7 linked regions of the Oryctolagus cuniculus genome follow. The protein of the gene in region 4 interacts with the protein of the main gene of each other region in a biochemical or structural test. Links are inferred from orthologs where the notes say so. Each region holds a gene or a part of one and is shown on either strand. Other genes may lie near its edges.

Evidence for each region.
Region 1: the proteins of LRRK2 (region 4) and YWHAZ interact on a protein array, tested with the Homo sapiens proteins (3 studies listed by BioGRID and IntAct, with this or other methods). The link is inferred for Oryctolagus cuniculus from reciprocal best matches to the Homo sapiens genes LRRK2 and YWHAZ.
Region 2: of the proteins of LRRK2 (region 4) and RPS15, one has a biochemical effect on the other in vitro, tested with the Homo sapiens proteins (2 studies listed by IntAct). The link is inferred for Oryctolagus cuniculus from reciprocal best matches to the Homo sapiens genes LRRK2 and RPS15.
Region 3: the proteins of LRRK2 (region 4) and GAK interact on a protein array, tested with the Homo sapiens proteins (3 studies listed by BioGRID and IntAct, with this or other methods). The link is inferred for Oryctolagus cuniculus from reciprocal best matches to the Homo sapiens genes LRRK2 and GAK.
Region 5: of the proteins of LRRK2 (region 4) and ARFGAP1, one has a biochemical effect on the other in vitro, tested with the Homo sapiens proteins (3 studies listed by BioGRID and IntAct, with this or other methods). The link is inferred for Oryctolagus cuniculus from reciprocal best matches to the Homo sapiens genes LRRK2 and ARFGAP1.
Region 6: of the proteins of LRRK2 (region 4) and MSN, one has a biochemical effect on the other in vitro, tested with the Homo sapiens proteins (9 studies listed by IntAct). The link is inferred for Oryctolagus cuniculus from reciprocal best matches to the Homo sapiens genes LRRK2 and MSN.
Region 7: the proteins of LRRK2 (region 4) and MATK interact on a protein array, tested with the Homo sapiens proteins (2 studies listed by BioGRID and IntAct, with this or other methods). The link is inferred for Oryctolagus cuniculus from reciprocal best matches to the Homo sapiens genes LRRK2 and MATK.

Annotation. Positions count from the first base shown.
Region 1 is NC_091437.1:126,339,366-126,342,865, reverse strand, and holds part of YWHAZ (14-3-3 protein zeta/delta), read left to right. Parts: intron 1-58; coding exon 59-182; intron 183-607; coding exon 608-771; intron 772-862; coding exon 863-958; intron 959-3,500.
Region 2 is NC_091447.1:58,779,087-58,782,683, reverse strand, and holds RPS15 (small ribosomal subunit protein uS19), read right to left. Parts: upstream 2,320-3,597; 5' UTR 2,105-2,319; coding exon 2,102-2,104; intron 1,859-2,101; coding exon 1,773-1,858; intron 1,003-1,772; coding exon 768-1,002; intron 640-767; coding exon 526-639; 3' UTR 501-525; downstream 1-500.
Region 3 is NC_091433.1:225,045-228,544, reverse strand, and holds part of GAK (cyclin-G-associated kinase), read left to right. Parts: intron 1-570; coding exon 571-620; intron 621-1,001; coding exon 1,002-1,150; intron 1,151-1,424; coding exon 1,425-1,547; intron 1,548-2,411; coding exon 2,412-2,545; intron 2,546-3,500. UniProt on the Homo sapiens protein: Associates with cyclin G and CDK5. Seems to act as an auxilin homolog that is involved in the uncoating of clathrin-coated vesicles by Hsc70 in non-neuronal cells. Expression oscillates slightly during the cell cycle, peaking at G1.
Region 4 is NC_091440.1:131,746,094-131,750,332, forward strand, and holds the start of LRRK2 (leucine-rich repeat serine/threonine-protein kinase 2), read left to right. Parts: upstream 1-1,439; 5' UTR 1,440-1,541; coding exon 1,542-1,698; intron 1,699-1,841; coding exon 1,842-1,927; intron 1,928-4,239. UniProt on the Homo sapiens protein: Serine/threonine-protein kinase which phosphorylates a broad range of proteins involved in multiple processes such as neuronal plasticity, innate immunity, autophagy, and vesicle trafficking.
Region 5 is NC_091442.1:567,002-570,501, reverse strand, and holds part of ARFGAP1 (ADP-ribosylation factor GTPase-activating protein 1), read left to right. Parts: intron 1-119; 5' UTR 120-123; coding exon 124-183; intron 184-440; coding exon 441-550; intron 551-651; coding exon 652-823; intron 824-1,149; coding exon 1,150-1,250; intron 1,251-2,112; coding exon 2,113-2,199; intron 2,200-2,488; coding exon 2,489-2,585; intron 2,586-3,463; coding exon 3,464-3,500. UniProt on the Homo sapiens protein: GTPase-activating protein (GAP) for the ADP ribosylation factor 1 (ARF1). Involved in membrane trafficking and /or vesicle transport.
Region 6 is NC_091453.1:45,583,947-45,588,133, reverse strand, and holds the start of MSN (moesin), read right to left. Parts: upstream 2,801-4,187; 5' UTR 2,523-2,800; coding exon 2,511-2,522; intron 1-2,510. UniProt on the Homo sapiens protein: Ezrin-radixin-moesin (ERM) family protein that connects the actin cytoskeleton to the plasma membrane and thereby regulates the structure and function of specific domains of the cell cortex.
Region 7 is NC_091447.1:59,377,422-59,381,677, forward strand, and holds the start of MATK (megakaryocyte-associated tyrosine-protein kinase), read left to right. Parts: upstream 1-1,456; 5' UTR 1,457-1,609; intron 1,610-4,256. Other genes in the region: ZFR2 (zinc finger RNA-binding protein 2), read left to right, coding at 75-172, 267-452.

The sequences.
Region 1 (3,500 bases), on a different chromosome or scaffold from region 4:
TTCCTGTTCATTGAAATCAGAATGTGAATAGATAACATCTGTTTCTTTTCTTCTTTAGTCTCTTTTGGAAAAGTTCTTGATCCCTAATGCTTCACAAGCAGAGAGCAAAGTCTTCTATTTGAAAATGAAAGGAGACTACTACCGTTACCTGGCTGAGGTTGCTGCTGGTGATGACAAGAAGGGTATGGTGTTCTCAAACCTGTTGTTTGGATTTCTGTAAAATAACCTAGTGTGGAAGCTGTCTCTTTGAAGTGCAAATTTTTGTTGATGTTGTTAATTGGTTAGAGGTACTAGTAAGGAGCCATAATGCTGTTGGGCTTTCTGGAGTCCTGAGGATATGTATTTACAGCCTGTTACTAGTGTTCTGAAATGTATACTTTCTGGGAAGCCAGCTTTGCATACAGGATGTTTCTTCAGTTTAAGAAATAGTGGCCATAGCAAAACTGGTTTAAAACAATGTAGCAATAATGAGATTACACTGATTTGATCTTGAAATTAACCAGTGGCCAGTGTGGTATCTCAGGAATATTCAATGAAAGATTTGATTTGAGGGGTGAGAATGAAGTACAGACTTTTTAAGTACATTTCAGTGTGTTTTATTACTCAGGGATTGTGGATCAGTCACAACAAGCATACCAAGAAGCTTTTGAAATCAGCAAAAAGGAAATGCAACCAACGCATCCTATCAGATTGGGTCTGGCCCTTAACTTCTCTGTGTTCTATTACGAGATTCTGAATTCCCCAGAGAAAGCCTGCTCTCTTGCAAAGACAGTATGTATTTTACCTATTATGTGGACAGTTAGCAAGCTTTATTATTACATTTTATTATTTGAGCACTGAAACACTTCTTTTTTTAACATAGGCTTTTGATGAAGCCATTGCTGAACTTGATACGTTAAGTGAAGAATCATACAAAGACAGCACGCTAATAATGCAGTTACTGAGAGACAACTTGACAGTAAGTACATGGCATATCATTGATGACTCATGCTGAAAAGATTGTTATTTTACTACAAGGAATATTTCTGACCTTTTTTTTACTAGGTAGATTATCCTATCTACTATTAAAACCATATGAAGAAGAAAACTCCCTTCTATAAACTGAAATATTACATGAAGAGATAAAAATGTACTGCATTCCTTTGATTAGTTGCAAGTCTGTTGTGAAAATTTTAATTCTCAAAATAATTTTGTGATTCATGGTTTTGGACTTAATTCACATAGGCTGTTTATTTTTCATTTTAAGTCCCTCATTCTTTCAATTTTAGACACAAAATGCTCTACAAAATGTGAGTGGAAATTGTTTTGCCTGGTTTCTGATTTTAAAATGGCTAATTTATGGGAGATCATGATCTTTTTGTTATAATCCAGATTTTAAAAAGATATTAATGATGTTATCACTCCAAAAAAAAATAGTAATTCTTTAATAATGTTAAATCACGTTGAAATTCGGAGAGCAATTGAATGATCTTCTGTCTATTGGTTTGCTCCCCAAATGACTGCAATGGTTAGGGCTGGGCCAGGCTGAAGCCAGGGGCCAGGAGCTTCATCTGTGTCTCACATGGTGTCAGGCGCCCAAGGACTTGGGCCATCTTCTGCTGCTTTCCCAGGCACATTTGCGGTGAGCTCGATTTGAAAGTGGAGCAGACAGGACTTGAACCACCACTTATAGAATGCCAGCATCGAAGACAGTGGCTTAAGCCCCTCTGCCACAGTGCCAGCCCCTAAATTCCAATTTTCTAAAAGTAGTTTGATAAATGAAGCCCAATGTGACAGTTGGTTTACATGTGTCCTTGGCTGCTAAGGTTTTCCCATTCTTCTCCTTCAGATAAATACTAAATTTAAAGTTTTGAGGCTTAAGTGAAAAAATGGCCAGGCATCTGCTATGTGTCAGGTAAAGAGGTAGGGATTGGTGATTGTTGTGGGGAGCAACTCGGACTAGACTAAGTTACTGGAATTAAGACTTATTCTATGCATCTGCTCTCCCACAATATGGCGCTGGGAGAGGAGGAGACAGCTTCTACACAGCTGCCTCCAGTTCAACCAATAAACAGCAGGACCTGCTCCTGATTGGAGGAGAGCAGCGTACTCGGCGTGTGGGTAGCAGAGTTGGGATTGGTGGAAGAGGACTATAAAGGAGGAGAGAGACAACATGCACCGGGAACATCTATCTGAAGGAACACCTGTGCAGCCCCCGAGAGAGCCGGCCGGCGGTGTGCCGCTCCCCCACGGAAGTGGGGAAAGTGGCTAGGGGGAACCGCCCTTCCACGGAGGTGGAAGCGATGGTAGCCAACCCGGGAAGAACCAGCAGCAAACCTGGGGAGGGCCGAGCAGACAAAAGAACAGCGCAGGGTCCTGTGTCGTTCCTCCACGAAGAGGGGGAGCGACAATTGTTATTATTGTTGATACGGGTTTGTTAGCTTTAGGGCCATTTGTCTTGGGGGCTATTATACCTTTAAAGTTTTCCAACTTCATGCTAGTCCACTGCCAATATTCTGTAGAAGAACAGTTCTATATTCTAGAGTAAAACTTGTCTGGAGAAGAATTATTAAGAATTTTATTTTTTAAGCTAGTAATCTTGCTCATTTTTAAAAACTTTTTTTTTATTTAAAAGGTAGAATGACAGAGGGAAAGAGAAAGATCATCACTATATTCCTAAAATTGTGCTTATGGAATACATGAAGTTTGTAAAAAGTTTCTTTGCAGGGGTAGAAATAAAAGTTAATTAAAATAAAAAAAAGAAAGAAAGAAAAAGACCTTCCATGCACTAGTTCACTCAAAACGGCCACAACAGCCAGGGCTGATCTGGGCCGAACCCAAGAGTCAGGGTTCCAGTCTGCGCGCCAGTGTTGGATGCCAGCCCCTTGAGATGACATTGAAAAGGTGGAGCCTAAGACTTAATTGTTGTATTCTCATCACTAATCATTACAGGTTGATTATCTGTTAAGTAAAGAATTTCGCCAAAGCCTAATTTGTACTTGAATCTGAATCTGGTTGATCATCATCACGTCACCCTGGAAAGAGAAATGCCCTGTATCAAATCCTTACATGTTTATATGGAGAATTTCTAGCGTCCTTTAAGAGTAGAACTAGAAAGACACATTAGAGACAATTTCCTGTTGACTCACAAAACCCCTTGTTTAATAGGACTTGCAGTCTCCAACTGGCCATTAGTTTTGTGAATTTGAACATTAGTCTTCTTTCCAGGCTATACATATATTTAATTAGTAAACAAATGAAGTTACAGATGATTTGGGAAAAGAAAGTACTTTGCAGGGTTTTCTCCCCACCCTTTTCAGTGTGTAAGTCAAATGAAATTTAAGATTACCTTGAGTTAACATTTAAATTATCTCTGATAACCACTGTAAAGTACTTTTTTAAAAAACTATTTGTATATTTATTTACTTATTTGAAAAGCAGAGTGATAGAGGGAGAGATTGATCAGTTTTCTATCCACTGGTTCATTCCCAAAAAGCCTACAGTAGCCAGGTTTGGACCAG
Region 2 (3,597 bases), on a different chromosome or scaffold from region 4:
GTGGGCCCCGGGCGCCGACTCTATCCCCCCCACCCCTTGCCGGGGCAGCGGCGGGAGCCGGGCAGCCCTGGGACGCGCAGCGGGCCGCTCCCCACGAGGCAGCACTGTGTGTATTTCAAAGGCAGAGGTAGACAGGTCTTCCGGGGACTGGCTCACTCCTCACGCCCACAACGGCCGGGGGCTTCTTCCGGGTCCCCCGCGAGAGGGACGGGCCCGCGAGTGGGGCAGCCGGGGCGAGGGCGGGGCTGCGGCCAGGAGGTCCCGGCCTCAGTGGGCGGGGCCTGCCGCATCGCACCTGCCACTGGCCCCTCCTGCCGGGAAGGACGGGACCTCCCCCCTCCCCGTGGCTCCACGTCCACGCGGAACCCGCCCCCCCAATGCCGCCGCGGATGGCAGCCCGCGCCCACCCCGGGATCCTGTCAGCTCTGCCCAGCGGCGCACGGGACACGCGGTGTGAGGACGAGGGTCCCGCCCGCCAGGAAGGAGACGCAGACCACGGCCACGCGGGAGCGCGCTTTATTGGGGCTACTTGAGCGGGATGAAGCGGGAGGAGTGCGTGGCGCCGATGCCCGGCCGGCCGTGCTTCACGGGCTTGTAGGTGATGGAGAACTCGCCCAGGTAGTGGCCGATCATCTCGGGCTGCGGGGGGGGGGGGGCGGGCGGGGTCAGCGGCGGGCAGGGGGAGGCCCGGCCCCCCTGCGGCGTCAGGCCCGCCCCGCCCCCTCCATCCCCGCCCCGGCCCCCCACTCCCCGCCCCGCCCGCTCACCTTGATCTCCACCTGGTTGAAGGTCTTGCCGTTGTACACGCCCACCATGCTGCCCACCATCTCGGGCAGGATGATCATGTCCCGCAGGTGCGTCTTCACCACCTCCGGCTTCTCCATGGGCGGCGCCTCCTTCTTGGCCTTGCGCAGCCGCTTGAGCAGCGAGTGCTGCTTCCGCCGCAGGCCCCGGCTCAGCCGCCGCCGCTGCCGCGCGCTGTACAGCTGCATCAGCTGCTCGCTGCGGGCGGGGGGCGCGGTCGGCGGGGGACCGGAGCCCGGACCCGCCCCGAGCCCCCCGGGACCCCGCCCAGAGTCCCGTCCCGAGCCCCGGATCCCTTCCCGCCACGCCACGTCGGCGCCCCGAGTCCTCCCCGCCACGACGACCCCCGCCCCGAGACCCCGGACCCCCGCCCAGAGTCCCCAGGACCCGCCCCGAGTCCCGGACCCCCGCCCCGAGCCCCCGCCCAGAGTCGCGTCCCGAGCCCCGGACTCCCTCCTGCCACGCCACGTCGGCTCCCCGAGTCCCCCCGGACCCTCGCTCAGAGTCCCGGGGTCGTCCCGGGCGCCCGGATCCCTTCCCGCCACGCCACGTCGGCGCCCCGAGTCCTCCCCGCCACGACGACCCCCGCCCCGAGTCCCCCGGAGCCCCGGCCAGAGCCCCGTGGTCGTCCCGGGCGCCCACACCCCTTCCCGCCACGCCGGTGCCCCTGCCAGAGCTGCAGGGTCGTCACGGGGGCCCGGACCCCTTCCCGCCACGCCACGCCGGCCTCGCCGACCCCGGACCCCCGCCCCGAGCCCCGATCCCCGGCCAGAGCCGCGGTGTCGTCCCGGGCGTCCGGACCCCTTCCCGCCACGCCACGCCGGCTCCCTGAGCCCCGAGTCCTCCCCGCCACGCCGGCCCCCGAAGCCCCGGCCAGAGCTGCAGGGTCGTCCCGGGCGCCCGCCCCCTCCCCGCCGCGCCGCGCCGCGCCGGCCTCGCCGACCCCGGCCCCAGCCCCGCCCGCTTACTAGGACATGTCCAGCAGCTGGTCCAGGTCCACGCCGCGGTAGGTGAACTTGCGGAACGTCCGCTTCTTCTTCTGCTCGACTTCCGCCTGCGCGGGCCGGCCCGGGGGTCAGCGGAGGCCGGAGACCCCCGAGGGCGGCTCAGCCGGGACAAGCCGGCCGCCTCGCACCTTCCCCGCCCCGGGTCGCCCCGCACCCGCCCGCGCCCCTCATCCGGCGGCCCTGGGGACCCGCAGAGTCCCTCCGGCAGCCCGGGACCCCGCTGCGGTCCCCGCAGAGCGCGGATGGCGCCCGATACGTTCCCCGCGGAGGAGCCAGCGCGCACCACTCACCATCTTGTCGGCTTCCCGGAAGAGGACGTGCAGCTCGCGCACGCGCAGTTATCGCGAGGCCGCCTGCGTGCCCCGCCTCTCGCCGTGCGCGCGCACGCGCTTCCGCCTACCCTGCGGCGGACGCGCGCCCTCTGCTGTTCGGAGGGCGGACTGCAGGCTGCAGAGGACTTCTGGTTCCGGCTCTGCAGGGGGCACCGCGGACCCAACTGGAGCCCCCGCTGCCTGGTAGGCGGTCGGACTCCAGACAGAGGGCCATGGTGGCAGGGAGGGGACGGATCCAGCCGGACACAACCACGTGACATTAGCAGCTGCAGCGCTGGGTGGCCGGTGTCCAGCATAGATGGACAGGCAGATTATCAAGGAGTCGCGTGCACGCGCGCGCTGGGGCTGAGACACCCACGCGCCAGCTCCACTCGTGACGCCAGCACTGCTGCTGACGCAGGGCCCCTGGCTGCCGGCTCCGGCCCGGCCCGGCCTCGGCCGTGGTGGACATCTGCGTGGTCAGCGTCCCTCTTAGAATCAGACAGCGAAGGACGTGGCGCGACCCCTCCCAGCCGAGCCACGTCTGATCAGCGATCCGCTCGGGTGCACAGAGCCCACACTTCCACGCACAGATGGTGGGGACAGGGGTTCGTGGCCGCACCGTGGCACACGTGGGTTGTGGCCGGCCCGCCCCCGGCTGGAGCCCCGGCTGCTCCGCCCTGCTGTGGCCTGGGGCAGCCCGAGTGCTGGGGGCTGTGCCCGCGTGGGGGACCCGGGCGGAGCTCCTGGCTCCTGGATTTGGCCCGGCCCAGCTGGGGGGTGACCCAGGGGGCAAAGCTCCGTGACTCTGCCTTTCAAATGGATAAAATCTCAAAACAAGCAAAAAACACCAAAAAGCAAGGAGCCACAGGGACTTGCTGCTCAGGGAAGGGCGCCGGCCCCGCTGGCCGGGCAGCCACGGCTGGACTGCGTGGCCGCACCCCGGAGGCCCCTGGGTGCCCCAACCCCGCACGGGGGCTGCACTGGGTCAGGGTCCCGTAACCACCGGAGTGTGCGCTTGGAAGTGGCTGAGGGGCCGGCGCCGTGGCACGCGGACACCACATCCCAGACAGGACTGAGAGGGGCCGGCGCCGTGGCACGCGGGCACCACATCCCAGGCATGGCTGAGAGGGGCCGGCGCCGTGGCACGCGGGCACCACATCCCAGGCATGGCTGAGAGGGGCCGGCGCCGTGGCACGCGGGCACCACATCCCAGGCATGGCTGAGAGGGGCCGGCGCCGTGGCACGCGGACACCACATCCCAGGCATGGCTGAGAGGGGCCGGCGCCGTGGCACGCGGGCACCACATCACGGTCAGGCATGGCTGAGGGGCTGGCGCCGTGGCACGCGGACACCACATCCCAGACAGGACTGAGAGGGGCCGGCGCCGTGGCACGCGGGCACATCACGGTCAGGCATGGCTGAGGGGCCGGCGCTGTGGCACGCGGACACCACATCCCGGTCACAGTGGCTGC
Region 3 (3,500 bases), on a different chromosome or scaffold from region 4:
TGCCCGGGGCGTGTGGGGCATTGGCTCACCTGTGTCACCCGTCTGCCGTTGTTTGGGGAGGCCCTCGCTTCCCCGAGTTCCCGTGTTCCCCTGTTTACATTATCGTGCGGTGTCTTCTGGTGATGGGTTTGTAGTGTGTTGGGGGTGCTTAGTCTGTCTGAGCCTCACTTTGGGAGTTTTGCTTCGCTCTGCCAAGGGTGGGTGGTACCCCTGAGCCCTGTCCCCTGCCGCCAGCCTCCTGTGCCTGTCCCAGTGCCAGGTCCTCCCGCACAGCTGCTCTCACGTGAACTTAGGGTGCGTTTGCAGGCCCTGTGGGTCAACAGGAGGTGTAGGCTGTGTTGTCGACTCTGCGCCCGGCTCAGGGGACGGTAGATTGCTGTGAGTGGGCTGTAGCCACCAGCGTGTGTCCGGGCGCTCGGGGCCTTCCCTGTGCTGCTGGCCTCCGTGTCCAGCCAGCACCTGGCGCTGTCTGCAGGGGCCTCGTGCCCAGCCCTACAGCCTGCGCGGCTGAGACGCGCTCCAGTGCCAGCCGTGCTTCCTAGCTCCAAGTGTTCCTCTTTCTCATTGCAGCTATGCCAAGGGCGACCTGGACATCTCCTACGTCACCTCCCGCATAGCCGGTATGTCTCAGCACAGCTCCAGACGCTTGGCCTTGTGGGCAGCCACAGATTTACCCGAGAAGTGCCCTGGGGCCTTGTCCTAGAGGGTCAGCCTGTGTCCAGCACAGTGGACAGAAGTCTGAGTTGAGGGAGGGAGGGACACACAGCCAGGCCTGCAGCACCCGGTCTCCTGTGGGTGTCAGGCTGAAGTGGCCTGTGCTCAGAAGCGCTCCCCAGGAGTCTTGGCGGCTGCTTTGACCCGAGCTGGTCAGCCTGGTGACAGCTGACTCGTCTGTGCCGGGCCAGTGGTGCAGGCTGCTGTCCATGGAGAGGGCATGGGAGGCTGCCTTGCTGGTGCCCCTGCTGTGGCCCGGCTGAGCTGGCACTGCTCACTTTGTTCAGTGATGTCATTCCCGGCGGAGGGCGTGGAGTCGGCCATCAAAAACAACATAGAGGATGTGCGGCTGTTCCTGGACGCCAAGCACGCGGGCCACTACGCCGTCTACAACCTGTCCCCCAGGACGTACCGGGCCTCCAAGTTCCACAGCCGCGTGAGTGCTGGGCTTTGTCACGCTGCAGCAGTGGTGTGGCCGCTGCAGCTTCAGCTGGGGGCTCTGGTGGCTGGGGCTGCGACAGGAGCCTTGGAGGAGCAGCTGGCCTGGGAGGCCGGGGGCGGTGGCAACACTGAAGGCTTCCCTGCACCCCGAGGCTTCCGTGGCAGAGACGTGGCCTGGGCTGTGCCTGCAGCTGCCAGGAGCCCCAGTGCCAGGAGTCAGGGAAGACCGCACTGTGTGGGGGCGCCGGGCTGAACAGAGCCTCCCACAGGTCTCTGAGTGTGGCTGGGCTGCCAGGCGGGCGCCCCTCCTGCACAACCTGTACAGCATCTGCAGGGACATGCATGGCTGGCTCCGGCGGGACCCCAAGAACGTCTGTGTGGTGCACTGCACGGTGAGTGCCGGGCGGCCGTGCCGCGTGGGACTCCCTGCATTGTTGGGCTCTACTAGGTGTTCTTAACCTGGGCGTGGTGTGGAGGAAGGTGTCACCAGAGTACAGCCCTGCCTCGGGGAGCCCAGGGCCTGTGTCCAGGCCGCAGCTGGGGGCCCCATCCCTGCGGGCAGAGCCACTGTATGCGGAACTCCCATGGGGAGGGACGGCCCTGTGTGGCCTACACAGGGGCTGCTCGGCCTGTCGGCCCCTGCCCCTGCCCCTGCCCCTCCTTGTCTGGGGCCAGGGGTAAGTCCTTCCTCCAGATTTCCTTCCTGCGGGCCAGGGTCAGGAGTGAGCCTCGGCTGCTGGGGGTCGCGGCTGTCAGTCGGGTGTGCAGATGCGGGCCAGGGTCAGGAGTGAGCCTCGGCTGCTGGGGGACGCGGCTGTCAGTCGGGTGTGAAGAAACCTGAGGCTGGCTTCCTAGAACAAGCGTGGAGGCTGAAGCTGAAGCAGCCTTGTGCACGCGCGCACACACACACACACACACGCACACATACACACACACATGCAGGGGGAAGGACTGCGTGGCAAGGGCTGGGTCTGGCGGCCCCTCATAACCACTCCCTTGTGAGAGCTGACTCAGTCCCCAGGAAGAACCCTCTCCAGGATCCCCTGGGCCACTCTGTGTGGCCACAGTGGGCTGGGCTTCAGCTTCCAGCGTGTGGCTGGTGGCTGTGGTGCAGCAGAGCCAGTGGGGGCTGGTGGGCTGCGCTCCCTGCTGAGGTCTCGTTCTCTGTGGGCTCGGCCCGTGGGAGCCCCACGTGGCTGGTGAGGAAGTCTGCAGGAGGCATGCTAGCCCGCGCCCACCGCCTGTCTGTCCATCAGGATGGGAGAGCTGCGTCCGCCGTGGTCGTCTGCGCTTTCCTGTGCTTCTGCCGCCTCTTCAGCACCGCGGAGGCCGCCGTGTACATGTTCAGCATGAAGCGCTGCCCGCCGGGCATCTGGCCATCCCACAAAAGGTAGCGTGTGGCCTCAGCACCGTGGCCTGAGCTGCTGCCCTCTGCAGGCCGAGTCTGCGCCACAGCAGTGCCGACTCAGCTGCAGACTGGAGCCTGAAGGGCCCGGCAGGAGTGGGCTACGCGTGGCAGTCGGCTGGGGCGCCCAGCCTTAGGTGGCCGGCTGTCCGGCTAGCTCCTAGGCCCGAAGTTTTCCAGCAAGCATCTGAGCTCGGCGTGGCTGCTGTCCGCCCCACAGAGCCCACGTGGCCTGGGAGATGCTGTGTGAGGCTGTGCCGTGGACCCTGCGTGGGCAGATCACCTTGGAGGCAGGGGTGTGTGCCACAGGTAGCGCGTCTTCTCTGTGGGTCCTGTGTCAGGCTGGGTTCGCAGGCGGTGCCCACGTTCCACGGCCACCCCAAGTCGTGTCTGCCCGGAGTGGGCTCCCACAGCGGCCTGGCTCCTTCCTCGCAGGGACACGTGGTGTCACTCCCACCCTGACAGCTGGCACGGCCTCCCCCTGCCGAGGCCCCGGGGCAGACACGGCCAGACGCTGCATTGCAGGCCGAGTGTGCTGCCTGGGGCTGCCGCAGGCGGGCGAGGCCGCGTGCTGCTGAAAGCTCGGAGGGCGCTCGCGGGGCGGTGGAGGAGGCGCTGTCCGCACAGCGGGGTCAGGGCCCCGGGCAGGACTGGGGGCTGGGATCCAGTGGAGCTGTTTGAAGTGAAGGCGTGCTCACGCGTGAGGAGCGCCTTCCCAGGGCTCCTGGGACGGTTGGGCAGTGCTGGGGGTGAGCCGGGGCGTGCAGTGCAGTGCCGCAGCCCTCACCGGGCCCAGCAAGAGCGGCAGAGCCGCAGGAGCTGCCTCCAGCGGCCACACGTGCAGCTGCAGCCAGGAGATGTACAAGGTGGGAGCAGAGGAAGTAATGGCTGACAGGTTTCCCAGAGGAACCACACGTTCAGTCACCAGCCCAGGAGGCCG
Region 4 (4,239 bases):
TGGGAGGATGCTCCCAAGAGAAGCCACAGGCCTTGGGCCTGCTCACAGGCTGGCTGACGGAGTGCCGGCTTCTTACAAGTGGTAATCCAGTGGTCTGGGAAGGGAGCACCTGGTGCAAAGGGATTAGGAGGAGGGCACAGAGGGAGAACTCCTAGGGACAGCGCAGTTACTGCCTCTGCGGCCGGAAGTTCAGACAGGTTCCACGCCGATTGGAAAAGCACACACTGGAGATCTGATAAGGAGTGCAAGGCGCTGTCTGTCGCTTTTGGAAAATCTTATACAGAGAGAGAAGTACCATAGATTGCACGAACGCTTCTCTTCCCTTCAACAGGGATCAACCCACCTCTGCCTCCGCCCGTGCCAGCCCTCCCCTCCCCACGGGGGACTCTGGAGCAAACCTGAGCGCTCCGTCATTTCAACCACAAACGCTCCGGCCTGTGTGTGAAACATTCAAGGGGCATTTTCAAGGTATCCACTGGGAAAGCGAAGCCCACTCTGATTAAGGCGGGAATTGGGAAGACCTCAGTCCACCTGGGGCGAGTCCGGGCTCCCCAGTGCGCACCTGCGGGACCTCGGCTCAGCCCCACTCCCCAGCTCCAGCCCCCAGCTTCCTCTTTAGTAAAATGTAAAATGCCACCGATATGGGAACGGAGAAGCACTAACTTCCAGCCCAGCCTCTCCCTCTCTCAGGACCCCAGCCTCCACCCCCCACTCCCACCCCCGGAGGCCGCCCTGCCTTCCATCCGCAGACGCACAGGCCCACAGAGTCATTCTGGACACTGAGCAAACAGACTTGAGGTTTGGGTCTCTCACCTCTCCTTTCACTTCCCCGTCTTTCTCTCGGTTCCCACGGCGCGCAGAACCCACCCTGCCCGGCGTCCCCTCCACCACGGTGCCGCCTGCCGCAAACTCAAGCTCGCAAGTTGGTTTCTGGGGGCCTCCTGAGCCCCGGGGCTCGCGATAGCAACGGGGAAGCGCATGGTGCGTCCCCCGCCGCGGCCACGGCAGAGGGTGGCCGGGCCCTTCTCCCCGCGCACCGCTGCATCCCTGGGGCAGAGCGCATCCCCTAGCCCGAGGCCGCGATCCCGACCCGGGAGGCTGGGCCGCGTCCCCTTCGCCCAACGCCCGGATTCTATTCTTAGGTCGGCAGGCCGCCGGCTTTCGCTTTTCCTTTTTTCCAGGGCGCAGACCTCCGGCGGGCGGGCCGCGGTGGGGTCGCCGTGGGCTCCGGCCGCGCCGCCGCCACCGCTGCCTACGGGATCCGGCGCCGCCAGGGCGGGTCTCGCGGGCGTGGGCGCGCCCCAGCCGGGCCGCGGATCCACGCTTGGGCCGAGCCCCACGCAGGCCGCGGGCCCGGGGCTCGGGAGAGGGAGGCGGGCCCGGGAGAGGCAGGGCCGCGCCGGGCGGGGCCGCCTTCCCCGTGGGCGGCGCGCGCGTGCGGCCGGGGCGCGGCGGGCCTCGGAGGGCGGCGCGCGGGGCCGGCCCGGGCGCAGGAGGCCTCCTCGGGGCGCGGAGGGCGGCGGCTCGCAGCCCGAGCCACCATGGCCAGTGGCGGTGGCAGCAACCAGGGCAGCGACGAGGACGAGGAAAGTCTGAAGAAGTTGCTGGTCAAGCTGAACAACGTCCAGGAGGGCAAGCAGGTCGAGACGCTGGTGCAGACCCTGGAGGACCTGCTCGTGTTCACGTACTCGGAGCGCGGTAAGGCGGCCGCGCAAACTTTGCGCCTCGCTGCGCCCCGAACCGGTCCCGGCTCCTGCGCTCCTGCCGCCCGGCCTTCCCCGGGGCGCAGAGCGCCAGGGGCCCTGACTCTGCCTCTCCTCCCTCACCCTCTTGTCTTGCAGCCTCAAGGCTGTTTCGGGGCAAAAGCTTCCACGTGCCTCTGCTGATCGTGTTGGATTCGTATATGAGGGTCGCGAGTGTGCAGCAGGTGAGGGCGCCCCCCTACCCCACCCCGCGACTCCTTCTGCTGGGAACCCGACGTTTCCTGCCTGCCGGCGGGGAGGCCGCATCCCCGGGGCTGCTGGGCCGGGCCGGGCCGGGCCGAGCCGAGGTTTGGCCTCCGGAACCGCTGGCTGTCTTGAGGCTGGAGGCATTGTTGGGGGATCCTGAGCTTGACTTAACGGGCTGAGGGCCCGGCACGCTCCAGTCCGCTTTCCCAAGCCGCTACCCAAAGCTGGCTGCAGGGGTTGGGTGGCCGCGGGGACTGCTGTTGGCAGGAGGAGCCAGCCCCCCGTCGTGTCTGGGAGGAACCCCTCTGAACGGCTCCCCCACGTGCAGCCGCGGTCCAGACCAGACCGTCTGGGAAGGGCGAGTTTGACCAAGGGGCGCAGGGAACGGCAATCAGACGCAGTTAGGCGGCTGGAGGTCTGCGCCCTGGCTCTCCGCGGCTGCTCTTTCCAGTCTGAAGGCTTCCGCGCCTTCGTGAGATTCGGGCTGCGTTGTAGGATTTAAAGGAAGTGATGTTTGCTGATTGCCTCACCTGTTTGAGTTGGTGCTTCGCTAAGGTTTGTGACCTAAAACCTCTGTAGGAGTGAAACTTCGAGACCCTGCAGCATGGGGGAACCCAGAAAGGCGCCGAAGGCCTTCGGGGCGTTCAGGCAGGAGTCAGTGAGCCTTGAGAGTGGTTGACCCCAGGACGGTTACTCCCCAAGGTGATGACGTCCTGTGCAGCTTTTGAGATTTGGGGAACTGAGAGCAGTCCTGTGCCCCGCGGGTCAGGTCGCTGGGGGGAGGGGCCCGCGCACTGATCTGGCAGGCTGCAGCTGGGAGAATGGCAGTGTCTCTCCACCTTGGGTCTGTCTCTGTACCTGCAGCTCCTCTGCATGAGCCCTGGGCCCTGGATCTGCCTGCTTCCTATGAGAACACTTACATCTAGAGTAAATGTTTATTTTCTTTCAATGGCGAAGTGTTTGCCATCTGACAGTTGATGTTCTGTCTGCTGTCAAACCAAACCCAGAGGGAAGGGCAGGCGTGGTCAAGAGAGTCCTCATTTTAGCTCTCGAGTCTGGGTAGTTGTTAGGGGCTGGCTGATGGTGCTTGCTGCTGTCACCCACACCACCCTTCTTCCAGCATGTGCTGGGTGTTCTGGAGTCTCTCTCCCAGTTCTCTCCCCGGGATCCTGCACAGCCTTGGGTATGCACTGTGGGGAGGAGTGCTGCTCTGGGAAGCCCAAGGGAGCCAGGAACATAGTCCCTGATTGTTAATTTGAGAAACTGCCCGAGCCTGGGGTCGTTAGGCAGGTCCCTCGGGGTCTTTGCACAGAGTACCAGAGGCAAAGCGTGGTGCACAGTAAATAAGGGATGATGGACATGGCACCTTTTGATTCTCACAGGGTCTCACTGCTCGGAGAACTCCTGCTGGGTATCTTATCTAGCGGGAGCTCAGTGGACATTATGAGACTCCCTGGGGGTCTCAGAGTTGGGGGCTTGAGACTTTTCGCACCCCCAGGTTCTCTTTCCGTCTTGAGCTGCAGTAACTGCAGAATGCGTGCCAGGCACAGGCTCAGTGGTTTGACATCAGGACATCAGTTTGAATTAGGTGGTCTTATCTGAGGGATGTGGAAAGGGGCCTCTCCACGTAAAAGCAGGTTTCTCCCTCACCAGATTTTTTTGACTGTCGGCGCAGAAGACTTGAATGCTTCACCTGCTGCAAGTACATATTTAAGGAGTTAGGTGCCTGACTCTTCCAAAAGGGCTTTCTCAGAAGCCCGTTAATGTGACACTGCAGGCTCTGAGTTCTTCAGGACCTTTGTGTATTTTACGAATGCTTTAAGTAGATGACTGTTGGGAGACCTGGTAGCTAGGCCAAGTTCTCTCTCGCTGCCGTTCATTTCCTCTCTGCTCCTCAGTATTACTTTTTATCCGCACAGTCTCAGCCACTGAAAAGGGGGCGCAGAATCAATGAAAGTGGCTTACAATCTTGCTAACCTCTGCACTCCATTGTGCACTGATGAGATGCTTGGGTTTATAGGATCATTATCCTAAAGTGAAGCTACTGATGTGATTGCGCAGTAGCTGTGCAGAATAGGGGCCTTCTTCGGAAGATAAGCTTTTAATGGGCTGGATGAATGCATCGATTGTTACCTCTGCTGCTCTGCCAGAGATGGTCTTGGCTCACACACGCTCCGCCGAGCTCCTGCAAGCTCGGTGACTGCATCTTTCTGCAGAGCCGTTGTTGATGCTGCAGTTTCAACAACGAAAACAGCACAGGTTTTCTCCCTGTGTCAGCCAGGCAGGTACA
Region 5 (3,500 bases), on a different chromosome or scaffold from region 4:
CCTGGGCAGCTCGCGGTGGGCCAGAGGCCTCGTGAAGGGGCAGGTGTGAAGTGTCGTGAGCCGATGGCTCACTTAGGGACCGCGTGTGGGTCTGTCACGGGGCCGTTCTGTCTCCACAGCGTCATGGCCAGCCCGAGGACCCGGAAAGTTCTGAAGGAGGTCAGGGTGCGGGACGAGAACAATGTGAGTCGGGGCCGCCTGCGGCTGCCGTGGGCCACGGCCCTCCTGTCGCCCGGGGCCGTCTGCCTGGCCTTCCTGCTGGACGCTTTCCCCTGGGGCTGCTCGCCCCTCGTGCCGGCTTCCTGGCAGGATCAGCGGCCACCCCGCCCAGGCTTGCCTGCCGCCTGGGCCTCCCTCCTCCCCCGGGGTCCTTGTGTGTGGCGTCGGGCTCTCTGGCCTGCCCCGAGCCCCCGGCGAGCCGTGTGTGGCCCCCTCTGCAGGTCTGTTTTGAGTGTGGCGCTTTCAACCCGCAGTGGGTCAGTGTGACCTACGGCATCTGGATCTGCCTAGAGTGCTCGGGGAGACACCGCGGGCTGGGCGTGCACCTCAGGTCAGTGCCCGCCTGCACCCGTGTCTGGGGGGGCCGGGGCGGGGGTCGCCCCGCACGCCCCCCGGTTGGTAATGAGGCCAGTGCCCACCTCCGGCTTCCAGCTTCGTGCGCTCGGTCACGATGGACAAGTGGAAGGACCTGGAGCTGGAGAAGATGAAGGTCGGGGGCAACGCCAAGTTCCGGGAGTTCCTGGAGTCCCAGGCCGACTACGACCCCTGCTGGTCCCTGCAGGACAAGTACGAGAGCAGGGCCGCGGCCCTCTTCAGGGACAAGGCAAGTTCTCACGCGCCGGCCGTGGGGCTGGCCAGGGCAGTGGGCGGCCCGGGGCCGCGATTGCAGGGGCGACGAGGAACTGCGGCGTGCGGTGCCGCCCCTCCTCTCGGGTCAGGACGTCGGAGGAGCGGTGGAGCCGTGGCGTAGTTCACGTGGGGTCCCTGTACTCTGGAGCTGGAGCTGCACCGTTCACCAAGCACGGCCAGACTGAGGCGGCCACGGCCCACGCTGGCCCACGCTGGGCGACGCTGGGCGACGCTGGGGCCTGGGGGAGGGTGGGGCGCGTGGAGGCGATGCACACCCTGACCACCCGTGCTCCCCGTCAGGTGGCCACCCTGGCTGAAGGCAGAGCGTGGTCTCTGGAGTCGTCACCTGCCCAGAACTGGACCCCACCCCAGCCCAGGACGTCGTTGGCCACTGCCCACCGGTAGCTACGCCCCTAATCTTCCTGGCCCGGCCCTGGGCGCAGCTCAGGATCCCCGCGTGGCTGTGGTGCCCCCAAAATGCCCAAAGCAGGACGAGCCCTTAGCAAGCAGGGGCGCGAAATAAGTGGGGTGAGAGCAGTGTCTCCCCCTGCCCAGCGTGGGCGCCGCTCTCCCTCCCAGACAGACACTGCCCCCCTGCAGCCCGGGGAGCAGGGCTGTGTGTCGCCAGCGCCCTGTCCCTCTGAGTGTCGCCGTCCTCCGGGGCGGCCCTGTGACCGCTGAGCTGACCCCAGAGTGGCTGTATCCCACGTCCCGCTGCGGGGAGCGCCCTGTGTGGGGGCTGCAGTGGGCGCTGGGGCCACCCCTTCCTCTCTTCCCCTCTTCCCTGCCGCATGCTGGTGCAGGGCTGCCGGGAAGCCAGCTCTGTGCTTTTTAAAAAGATTGAGAAGCAGAGCAACAGCAAAGGGAGACAGAGACCGTGGATCACTCTCCAGGTGGCCGCCTTGGCCAGGTCTGGGCAGGCTGACGCCAGGAGCCAGGAGCTCCGTCCACGTCTCCCACACAGGTGCAGGGACTGGGTCACCCTCTAGATGGCCACCACGGCCAGGTCTGGGCAGGCTGATGCCAGGAGCCGGGAGCTCCGTCCGGGTCTCCCACACAGGTGCAGGGACTCGGGTAGTTGTGCCCTTTGACCCAGCAGCCGATGGGGTGCTGGCAGCACAGGTGCCGCAGTGCTGGGGCCCTCAGGCCCCTACAGCTGAGCCCAAGCAGCCTTTCAGACAGCTGGGGCCGGTGTGACCCGAGCCCCGTCGCCGTGCCCGTGGCCTTGCTGGGGCTGTCGGTGTCACTGGCTCTCGGTCGCAGGGCCTCCGGGCAGACTCAGAACGCGTCCGCGTCCGCAGACAAGGCCTTCGAGGACTGGCTGAACGACGACCTCGGCTCCTATCAGGGGTGAGGGCTCCCCGGCTGGGGGTCCCGTGGGCAGGGCCGGTTTCTCTGTGGAGGGTGTGGGGTTAGAGGTTGACTGGCGAGCCCTGGCCAGCCCAGATTTGAGTGGAGGGAGAGGGCCCTTCCCCTGGAATCTGCCCATCAGGGAGTCGCCAGGTGAACCGTCCTGGTGGCTGGGACCTTCTGGAGACGGACAGCACGGCTGTGGCTGTGGGCCCCTGCACTCCGTCGGGCGCAGGCGCGTCGGGGTCCGTGCCGCAGCCGCCGGGCTGACGTCAGCGCTCGCTTTCAGGGCCCAGGAGAATCGCTACGTGGGGTTTGGGAACACGGTGCCGCCCCAGAAGAGAGAGGACGACTTCCTCAACAGCGCCATGTCCTCGCTGTGCTCGGTGGGTGCCGGCTGCAGCGCGGTGCGCGGCCCCTGCCCCGCCCCCAGTGCCGTCCAGCCAAGACACGGATCTGGGCTGGGGTTTCTTGTTCTTGAGGTTGATGTGTTTGACAGGCAGAGTGACAGCGACGGGGGATAGAGCTGGAGGGCTCCTCCGGCTGCGCGGTCACTGCCAGGCCTGGTCAGGCTGATGCCCGTGCTGGTGCCGGCGACGCGGCGTCACCTTTGTTCCCTGAGGGCACTTTGCTTCCAAGACGGATTCTCACCCTCTGGTGACGCCTCTGAGGCCCACGGCAGCCACCGCGTGCAGCTGGCGCAGCCGTTCCTCGACGAGGGGAAGGCTTTTTTTTTTTTTTTTTAATTTCTTTTTTATTTATTTGAAAGGCAGAGTTACAGAGAGAGTAAGGAGGGAGCGAGCGAGAGAGAGATCTTCCACTGGTTCACTCCCTAAATGGCTGCAAGGGCACGACTGGGCCAGGCCACAGCCAGGAGCCTCTTCCGGGTCTCCCACATGGGCGCAGGGGCCCAAGCACTTGGGCCACCTTCCACTGCTTTCCCGGGCCACAGCAGAGAGCTGGATGGGAAGTGGAGCAGCCGGGACTGGAACAGGTGCCCACGTGGATGCTGGCATTGCAGGTGGTGGCTTTACCCACCGTGCCACAGTGCCGGCCCAGGGAGGGCTTTTTAGACTAACTCAAAGTGAGGTGCAGAGACGGGCTGCGGGCGGTGAGCAGGTGTGGTCCTCAGAGCCTCACGCGGGGCCTGGCGGTCACACGGGGTTGGGCGGTCATGCGGGGCCTGCCAGTCAGCGGGGCCTGCCAGTCAGCGGGGTCGGGCGGTCACAGTGAGGCGGCCACCTTGCCATTCTGTGCCTCTCAGGGTTGGAGCAGTTTTACCACCGGAGCGAGCAAGTTCG
Region 6 (4,187 bases), on a different chromosome or scaffold from region 4:
CTTCCATAGGCCCAGCTCCAGCAGTTGCAGCCTTTTGAGGAGTAAACCAGCAATTGGGAGATCTTTCTCTCTGACTCTCCTTCTCTCTGTCTGTAACTCCACCTTTCAAATAAATAAATAAAATCTTTAAAAGAAAAAAAAGAACCCAATCATGGGTCCAGAGTAGGTGATCAGTGGGACAGAAATCATAACACTTGGACCCCAATCTTGGCTCAGACACCATATGTCCTTAGGTAGGTCCTTTCCTGTAAGCGTAAGCATCAATGCTTTAAGAGGGATATACTAGACAGAGAGCCTCTGAAGTGCCTTTCAGGTTAGGATTCTGTGGTCTTAACGGGAATGACACAGTTATTTTCTATAAAATTTAACAATTCCTTGGGTCTAACAGGATGGAAAATTCTCTAATACTTCCAGTCCATCAAAATTCAAGTCCTTTCTTCCAATTTCGTTCAAGTTTCAGTAATTTGCATAGGAGTACCTTCACTATTCAGGTGCTTCTAGTACCCTAGGACTGATCCCAAACAACTCATACTCTAATCTCTCCCCACACCCAGGAAAAAAATCAGCACATCATCTTCTTTGCAACTTTTGACTGAGATGGGATGGTTAAAGCAATTTTGATGCAATTTTCAGGCTTATCAAGTCCTGTTTAAGGTGGGATATTGGGGCAGGCATTGTGGCACAGTTGCCACTTGAGAGACCTACAACCCATTACAGAGTGCCAGTTCAACTCCACTTCCAATCCAGCTTCCTACTAATGCATCTGGGAACGCAGCAGAGGATGTTCCAAGTACTTGTGTCTGTGCGACCAATATGGAAGGTTCCAGGATCCTGGCTCTAGCCTGGCTTAGGCATAGGTATTGTGAATACTTGAGGAGTGAACCAAGAACAGATGATCGCTTGCTCTCTCTCTCTCTCTCTCTCTCTGCCATTAGAATAAATAATTTTTTAAAAAAAGAGTGGAATATCTCAGAATTGAGAATGAGATATTCCATAAGGAACTGGAGAGCAAAGTCTACTCCCAGAGATCCACCCATCTATCTGTTCAGGCAAAATCACACCTTCAGAGGAGTCAGAAGTCAACCACAGTGAGATAGGCACAAAGAGAGATTAACAGAAGGATCTGTATAATATTCTGTGTTGGCAGTGACAGTGGATTCCCAACAATTTACAAAACCATTTTCTCATTTTGTTGCCAGAAGGTTTTTGGAAGTAAAGTACAGAAATGCCCTATGTCATAAAACCACCGGCAATTTAAAAGAGATGGTGGAAGTGCATACTTGTTGAAAGTGTGGTGTTTCTGAAGGACAGAGTTCTGGAGAGGCAAGAATGACCTGGCAGTGAGGCCGGAATATGACAATATGGCAACGAAAGCTCAGCACGCACCCAAAGAACTGCTCTCCCCACTCTCCTCTCATCCCCAGGGTCTCTCCACCCTTCTCAAGGCTCCTTGTCACTGTCACAGCTTTACTAGCCTTAGGCAGTCCTAGGGAGACAAGTCTGGAAACACTGCATAGTCTAGGCCAGCTCAACAAGCTGCTTGGCCTAAGGGACTCAAGCCAGGATGCTCACCAGGCCTTCGTGAACAAGGGAAGGGCCCCAGCAGCCATTTGGCATGACTTGCACAAAAGCAAGCAGAGCTCATTAGTCAGGCACACCCCTCCCCCGCCCCTCCCTCCTGGGCATCCGGCCCCCCTAGGCCCCACTCCCAGGAGGCTTCTGTTCTTCTCATAACAGCCAGTGGGGTGGATCAACCACCGCTCTAGAAAGGTGTGGCCCCACAGCAGAGAACTCACACCTCTCAGCACAGTCTGGAGAGGACAGAGAGGCATTAAGTAATGGCAAGGGCAGGGATTTGGTGGGTGGAGGGAAGGAGAAACCGGTCTTCTCTCCCAGGAAGTGGCGTAGGCCTCTCCTCAGTCTGGTCCCTAGGGAAATGTTGGCGCTCCTGGGTACATGGGAGCAACCTAGATGATGAACCCCCACATCTTTCCTCTCAGTGGGAAACAGCTGGAGCCACCCGGGGAAGCTGTGGGGAAAGGTGAGTGGGGGTGCGGGATCCGCCCTGAGCCGCTCCCTCCTTCCACCCAGTTTCCCAGGTTCCCATGCCTATCCAGGACTGGGGCAGCCTTTCCCCAGAAACGCGCCAATTCCTGGGCAGGGGAAAGTGTTCTCTTCTGAACCACAGTCATCCCCCCTGCGTCCGCGGCCCTTTGGGGGAAGCTGGAGACCCTAAGCCCCCAATAAAGCCTTCCTCAATGCCGCATCCCCGACGCAGGAAAGTGGATCTTCAGAAAAAGGCCAGCCCCGCCCTTCCCACACTTCCAGCCTGGACACCCCCTCAACCCCGAGACCCCCCTCGCCTTCCCTCCCCTCCCCACCCCAGGCCATGGCTGAGGGCGCGGCGTCCCAGAAGGACTGGTAGCCGGCCAAATCCCTGGCCACCAGCAAAGGGCTACGAGGGTCTGCGGGACCGACCAGAGGTCGACAGCGCTCACTCCCGCACTCACCGTCTTGGGCATGGTGGCGGCAAAGGCGGCGGAGTTGGCGAAGTTTGGCTGGGAACTGTCGGGCAGCGCGGAGCACGCAGTACACACCGCTCGGACTCGTGGGCTCGGGGACTCGAATTGGGTCCCTCTCTAGCGTCGGGGCGACTGCTCGGCTTCCTGCTAACGGGCCACGACTTCATAAACCCCACCCAGGAAAGAGCCGCCCCCGTCGCACCGCCCGCTCCTTTATGTGGCCCGGCTTCCGCGCCGCTCCCCGCCCTCGCGCCGCCTCCCCGCCGGCCGCCGGCTTCGCCCCGCCCAGCCCAGCCCGGCCCAGCCTGGCCACCCCGGCCACGTGGGGGGCCGAGCTGAGCCCTGGGCAGCCCAAGGGGGACTCCCATTCCCGACTCAGACCCACCCTGCCGTTCTCCCAGTTCAGTTCACTCAAAGCCCCTAACCCTCCAAGTCCCGGCCATCCGGTCCCGACTCCGCCCCCATTCGGGGCTAGACCTTGGGCCGCACCCTGGCAGTTGCTTACTGCAATCCCTGACTGCAACTTTCCACTGATGGGCAGCTCACTACCAATCAAAGCTGCTTGTTCCGTCTCAAGACAGACTCTTAAAAAGTTATTCCTGTGGGTGTGCCTCCCATCCTTGATTCTCAGCTCTGCTCCCTAGGGCTGCAAGGTTATCTCCTGCTATCCCTAAAAGATCCCATATCTCCAGTAAACTGCTATTCTCCGGAATAAACTGCCTCAGCCCCACCAGCACTTCTGTCAGACTCTTCCCATCATAGTTCCTCCCCATTCTTGTTCAGTCCTCATTTTCATCAGAATTTAGCTCCGTATCTGTCCTCTGCCCACTTGCCTTCCTCCAAATCCCAGTCTCTACCTTCTTCAAATCAGTGCCCCATCCTTCAGCCCCTCCCCTAACACATTCACTTTTTGATGAGATTATAATTCCCTCAGGTGAGATGCAGCCCCCCCCACACACACACACCAGTATCTTGGAGCTTGGAGTATTTCTGTCAGTTCCCTTTATAGTTCTTGTCAAGGTCACAAAGTCCCAGGACAGCAGTATTCTAGACTGCGGGAGGACTCTGGCTAAGTCCAGGTTAAAGGAACTGGCCATAGCCCTTTTTCTCTCTTCTCTAGCGTCCGTGCAGAGGAGTGATCTGAGTATCCTTTGTGAAAGCAGAAACTCCAACTCGCAGGGCTTGTGAGCCATCTTGGGATAGTGGAAAGCACAATTGAGAGGGGTAGCAGGACACCTGGTTCTACTTTCCATTAACCCACTCTGACCACTGTGCACTCTTGGTAAGTCCCTTCCCTTCTCTGGCACCGAGTTCCCCCTCGTGTAACAAGAAAGGACTGGACTCCTGGGTTTCTAAGGTCCTTTCCCACTCTGATATTATAAAAGGATGAGAAAGGAAGTAGCCTCCCTAGTACAATAGATGAGCCTAGCTAGGCTGCATAAAGATTGACCTTGGATTTGCACTCACAAACCAAGAGTCCTGTTCCCTCCTCCTTTGCTTTCCCAGCTTAATGGGGTCCATGAGTCAGTGTGCCTCAGTTTCTCTCACTGATGCCTAGATTCATTGATGTGTACTAGGAAAAGCAGCGTTTCTAGCCAAGATCACTTTCTTTAACTGAGTATTTGTCAAGAGAATGATCAGCACTCCAGAGAAAGCCCACAAGGA
Region 7 (4,256 bases), on a different chromosome or scaffold from region 4:
GGGGGGGGGTTAGGGGGTCCCGCGCACGCGCAGTCACCGGTTTCGCTCTCCCTGCCGCCCCCTCCCCGGTGAAGACGGCCCCGGGCTGCAGGACCCCTGCGAGAAGGACCCGATGGACGCCCTGGAGCCCATGACGGCGCAGCAGCGCGAGGACGTGACGGCCAGCGCGCAGGTAGGCGGCGCGCCGGGGCGGGGCCGGGGTGCAGGCGGCCGCCCCCGCCCCTGCCCCCGCCCCCGCCCCCAGCCCTGACGGCGCGCCCCCGCAGCACGCGCTGCGCATGCTGGTCTTCCGCCAGATACACAAGGTCCTGGGCATGGAGCCGCTGCCGCTGCCCAAGAGGAGGCCCGGCGTCCGCTTCCGCAAGAGGGAGCGCGAGGCCAGCAAGGCGAGGGAGGCCGCCGCCAACGCCGACAAGAAGCGCGGCCGGCCCGGCGCGCAGGGCCTCGCCTGAGCCAACCAACCGCCCGCCCGCCCACCCGGCCCCGGCCCTGCCCCCGACACTGGCCCCGCCCCCGACACTGGCCCCGCCCCGCCCCGACACTGGCCCCGCCCCCGGCTCTTCTCAACGCTCGCGCTTCGCCCGGGAGACGCGGCACCTGCCCGGGCCCCTGCGTGCCTGCCCTGCCCCCTGCCCGGCGCGGACTCGCCATGAGGGGCGCAGCCGCCGCCCTGCCCCGGGGTGGGGTGGCTGAGGCCGGGGGAGGACGCGGGCCGGGCCCCACCCCGCACCGCCGAGTGCCTTGGAGGTCAGGGCTGCCCAGGGTGGGAGCTCCCGCCCCGCTGCGGGCACGGCCGCCCCTCGCGAGCGTTCCTGGCCCGGGGACGCGCATGCGGGCCCACCCTGGGACAGGGTCCACCCTGAGACAGGGCCCGGCGGCTCCCGGGGGCCGGGGCAATAAAGGAGACGTCTTCAGCCGCCACCGTGCGCTGTGTGCGGGCTGGGCTGGGTCGGGGGGAGTCCAGGGGCTCTGCCCGGGGCTGTCCCTGTCCTCGCTGCAAGTCGGGCACGCGGCCACACCGCCGGGAGGCCTGCGGGGCCGGAGCGGGCTCTCTGTGTGGAGGGCGGGCGTGCCCGAGCCCCGCAGCCCTCCCTGTTCACCCCGGCCCCGGCGGGCGGCCCGACCACTCCGCTCGGCGCTCCCCACCCGGAGCCCCCTGGCTTCCTTAGGGCCCGCGGCCGGACAGTCCGCCCGAGGCTGGACTTGCCGTTCTAACGCCCCCTGCGCCGGCAGACACCCCAATAAGCAGCTTCCGCCGGGCTTCGGCCCCGCCCCCAGCCCCCGCGTCCTGCTGCCCCGCGCCGGCCCCCGCTGCAGCAGTGTCTGCCTTCCGGAGCGCGGGCACCCCGGGCCCGGCGCCACGAATCCCGACCGCTGCGGGTGCGGGCGGGGAGCCGGTTGCTAGGCGACGCGGCGCGTGGGGGCGGGATGACGCGTGCGTGGGGGCGGGGTTGCAGCCCGGCTGGCGGGCGGTGCGGGAGACAGAAGCGGGAGCGCGGAGCCGGCGGCTGCGTCCCAAGGTCGCGGGCCCGCGGAGGCGCGGCCCGGGGAGGCGATGCCGCCAGCCGGTGCCGCGTAGCCCGCCTCGGCGCCCGCGGAGATGCCGCAGGTGAGCGGGCCGGCGCCGGGAGGGCCGCGGGCAGGGCGGGCGGGAGATGGGCAGCGGCTGGAGGCCGGCGTGGCGGCTTCGCGCGAGGGGCGCCCCCGTCCGTAAAAAACCCGACAAGCAGGAAGATAGAGGAGGAAACGCGAGGCCCTCCAGCGCCCTCTGCATTTATTGGGGAGGCAGGGCGAGGGAGACGAGCTCGCTCCCCGAAGGCCCACGGCCGGGCCGGGCCGCCCCAGCGCTGCTTCCAGAACGCTGCAGCGCCCCTCCCAGCCTCCGGCCACGGCGCGCCCGCTGTCCTGGACGTGCCCCGTGGGTGAAGCCCACGCGTGGCCTCTGCCCGTTTCTCTCCCGGGCTGAGACGTCCTCGGGGCGCTCAGCGAGCGTCAGAGCTTCGCCCCTGCTGGGCGCCCCGCGCTGTGGGCGTCCACGTCCCGCGCGTGGAGAGCGTGGCCTGTCCGGCCGCCTGCATGCCTTGCTGGGCGCTGGGATCCCATGGCCGTGAGCCGCCCCCCAAAGGGGAGGAGGTTTGCGAATTTCGCCAGCCCGGGCGCTGGGCGAGCAGCCCACGTGTGCACAACGGCCGTCCCAAAGAGCGCGCGCGGCCCCCTCGCAGTCCCCCCGCCCCGGGCGCGGGCACCCGCCGCTCCCGCCGGCTGCCCCCGTGGGCGCAGGTTGGAGACCCCCGGCTGCTCCACTTCCGGTCCGGCTCCCTGCAGCTGGCCCAAGCGCCTGGGCCCCTGCACCCACGTGGGAGACCCGGAGGACGCTCCTGGCCCAGTGCTGTCCGCTGCGGCCATCTGGGGAGTGAACCAGTGGATGGACGGTCTCTATGTAACTGCCTTTCAGATAATTTTTTTAAAAAGTCCGCAAAGTAGAATAAAAGATGAATGGGGGGGGGGGCGACAAGACTGGGTGTCGGACCCAGGGAGGCCAGCAGTGTCCACTGTCACACGCCACGGAGCCCCCAGGGCGCCAGAAAAGGCCGCAAACTTCCAAGAGGCGGGCGGGGAAGCGGGCCCAGGGCCCAGGTCACGCACACAGGGAGGGCAGGGAGGGCCTCGCGTGCCCAAAAACGGGCCCGTGCACAGCCGGGGGGGGGGGGTCGGGGGCGGAGCCGCAGACGCCTGAAACCCTGGCGATTACCAACTCCCGGGAGCCGAGAGGACCGAGCCGGAGATGCGGAGGTCGGGAAGACAAGGGGCTCGCCGCTGGGGGGGCTTCCAAACGCTGATGGGCGTGCAGCTCTGCCCGCCCCACCTGCGGGTCCCGTGCCCGGGGACGCAGCCCTGGAGCAGGGGCTCGGAGCTCGCCCTGACGGACGCCTGTCACCTGCCCCTCGCCTCGGTGCCGGCGGGCCATGGGCCAGGCCCCGCGGTCGGAGGCTGTGCGGCTCCGGCTGGTGCCTGGAGGGTGATGGCCGTGACCCCGGGGGTGTGGGGGAGGGGGGCGCGGGGGCCGTGATGTGTGCGGGGGTGGGGGCTCAGGCAGCCTCCATCCGGTGGCGGGGCGGGCACTGGCTGCATTTTTCCTGGAAGGAGCCCGCGGAGTCCCCTGGCAGGGGGCGGGGAGCTAAATTTAAAGACGTGGTAACTGGGGCAGTGGGGCCTGGCCGCCGGCCGCCGCCCGGCTCAGCCCCACCGCTGCCTGCCTGGAGCGCGCGCTGCGGACACGCTGTGCACCAGCCTCGTCCACGGCCTGCAGGGGACCCAGCCGGGAAGGCGGCGGCTGAGTGGCAGCCCCGCGGAGCGCACTGGGCAGAGGCCCTGGGGCAGCGGCCCGCCCACTGGCTTGGAGGAAGAGCTGCCCGGTGCTGCTGGCCTCACCATCTCCCCTGGGCTCTGGTCCCAGGGTGGCCATTGACTGGGTTCCACCCAGTGGGACGTGGAGAGAGGCGCACCTGTCGCTGCCCCTTCGCACTTCTCGTGGGCTGGAATGCAGATGGGACCGATGGAGCTCATTCAGGCGCCAAGAGGCCGCGTTCCTGGCCTCGCCCGACCGGTCGGCTTCTCCCTCTGCTGCCGACCCTCACCCCATTCCTCAAAGTGCCTGGGCCTCAGCCGTCGGGGTTCCGGGGTGGGAGGTGGCCCCTGCGTCCTGCGGGATTCGCGAGAACCTGGGTGATGCCAGTGGTGAGAACCAGAGGGGCGGGCGCAGGAGGGTGAGTGGCAGACGCTGGGGCCGCTGCACGTGGGGCACGGGGGAGGGAGGGCTACCGTCTCCTCCGTGTCCCCTGGCTGCTTGGCGAGGGGGCCTCCCTGCGAGGAAGGGGCCGGGGTGCGTGGCCGGCTCGCGCTGGGGGGCAGGGGAAACAGGAAGAGCCACCGAGTCGAGATTGCGAGAGGCCACGTCCTGGACGCCTCCTGTCCCCGGCCTGTGGCTGTGACCCCGAGAGGAGTCACGGTGCCCTGGGACGCCGGCCCCACGCCTGAGGCCCCTCTGCTCCTTCCCTGACTTCCTCCCGCGTCCGCGGGGTGCGGGGGGGGGGGACTGACACGGACCCCAGAGAGAACGTGGTGGCGTGGAGCGCGGGCCGCAGGGTGTGCTGGGGGCGGCCGGGGCCCTGGGCGCGTGCACGGTGGCGCTCGCACACATCGCCCCACCAGGGGGCCTGGGCGCTCAGAGCCCCCTGGTGCCCGCTGCGCTGTGC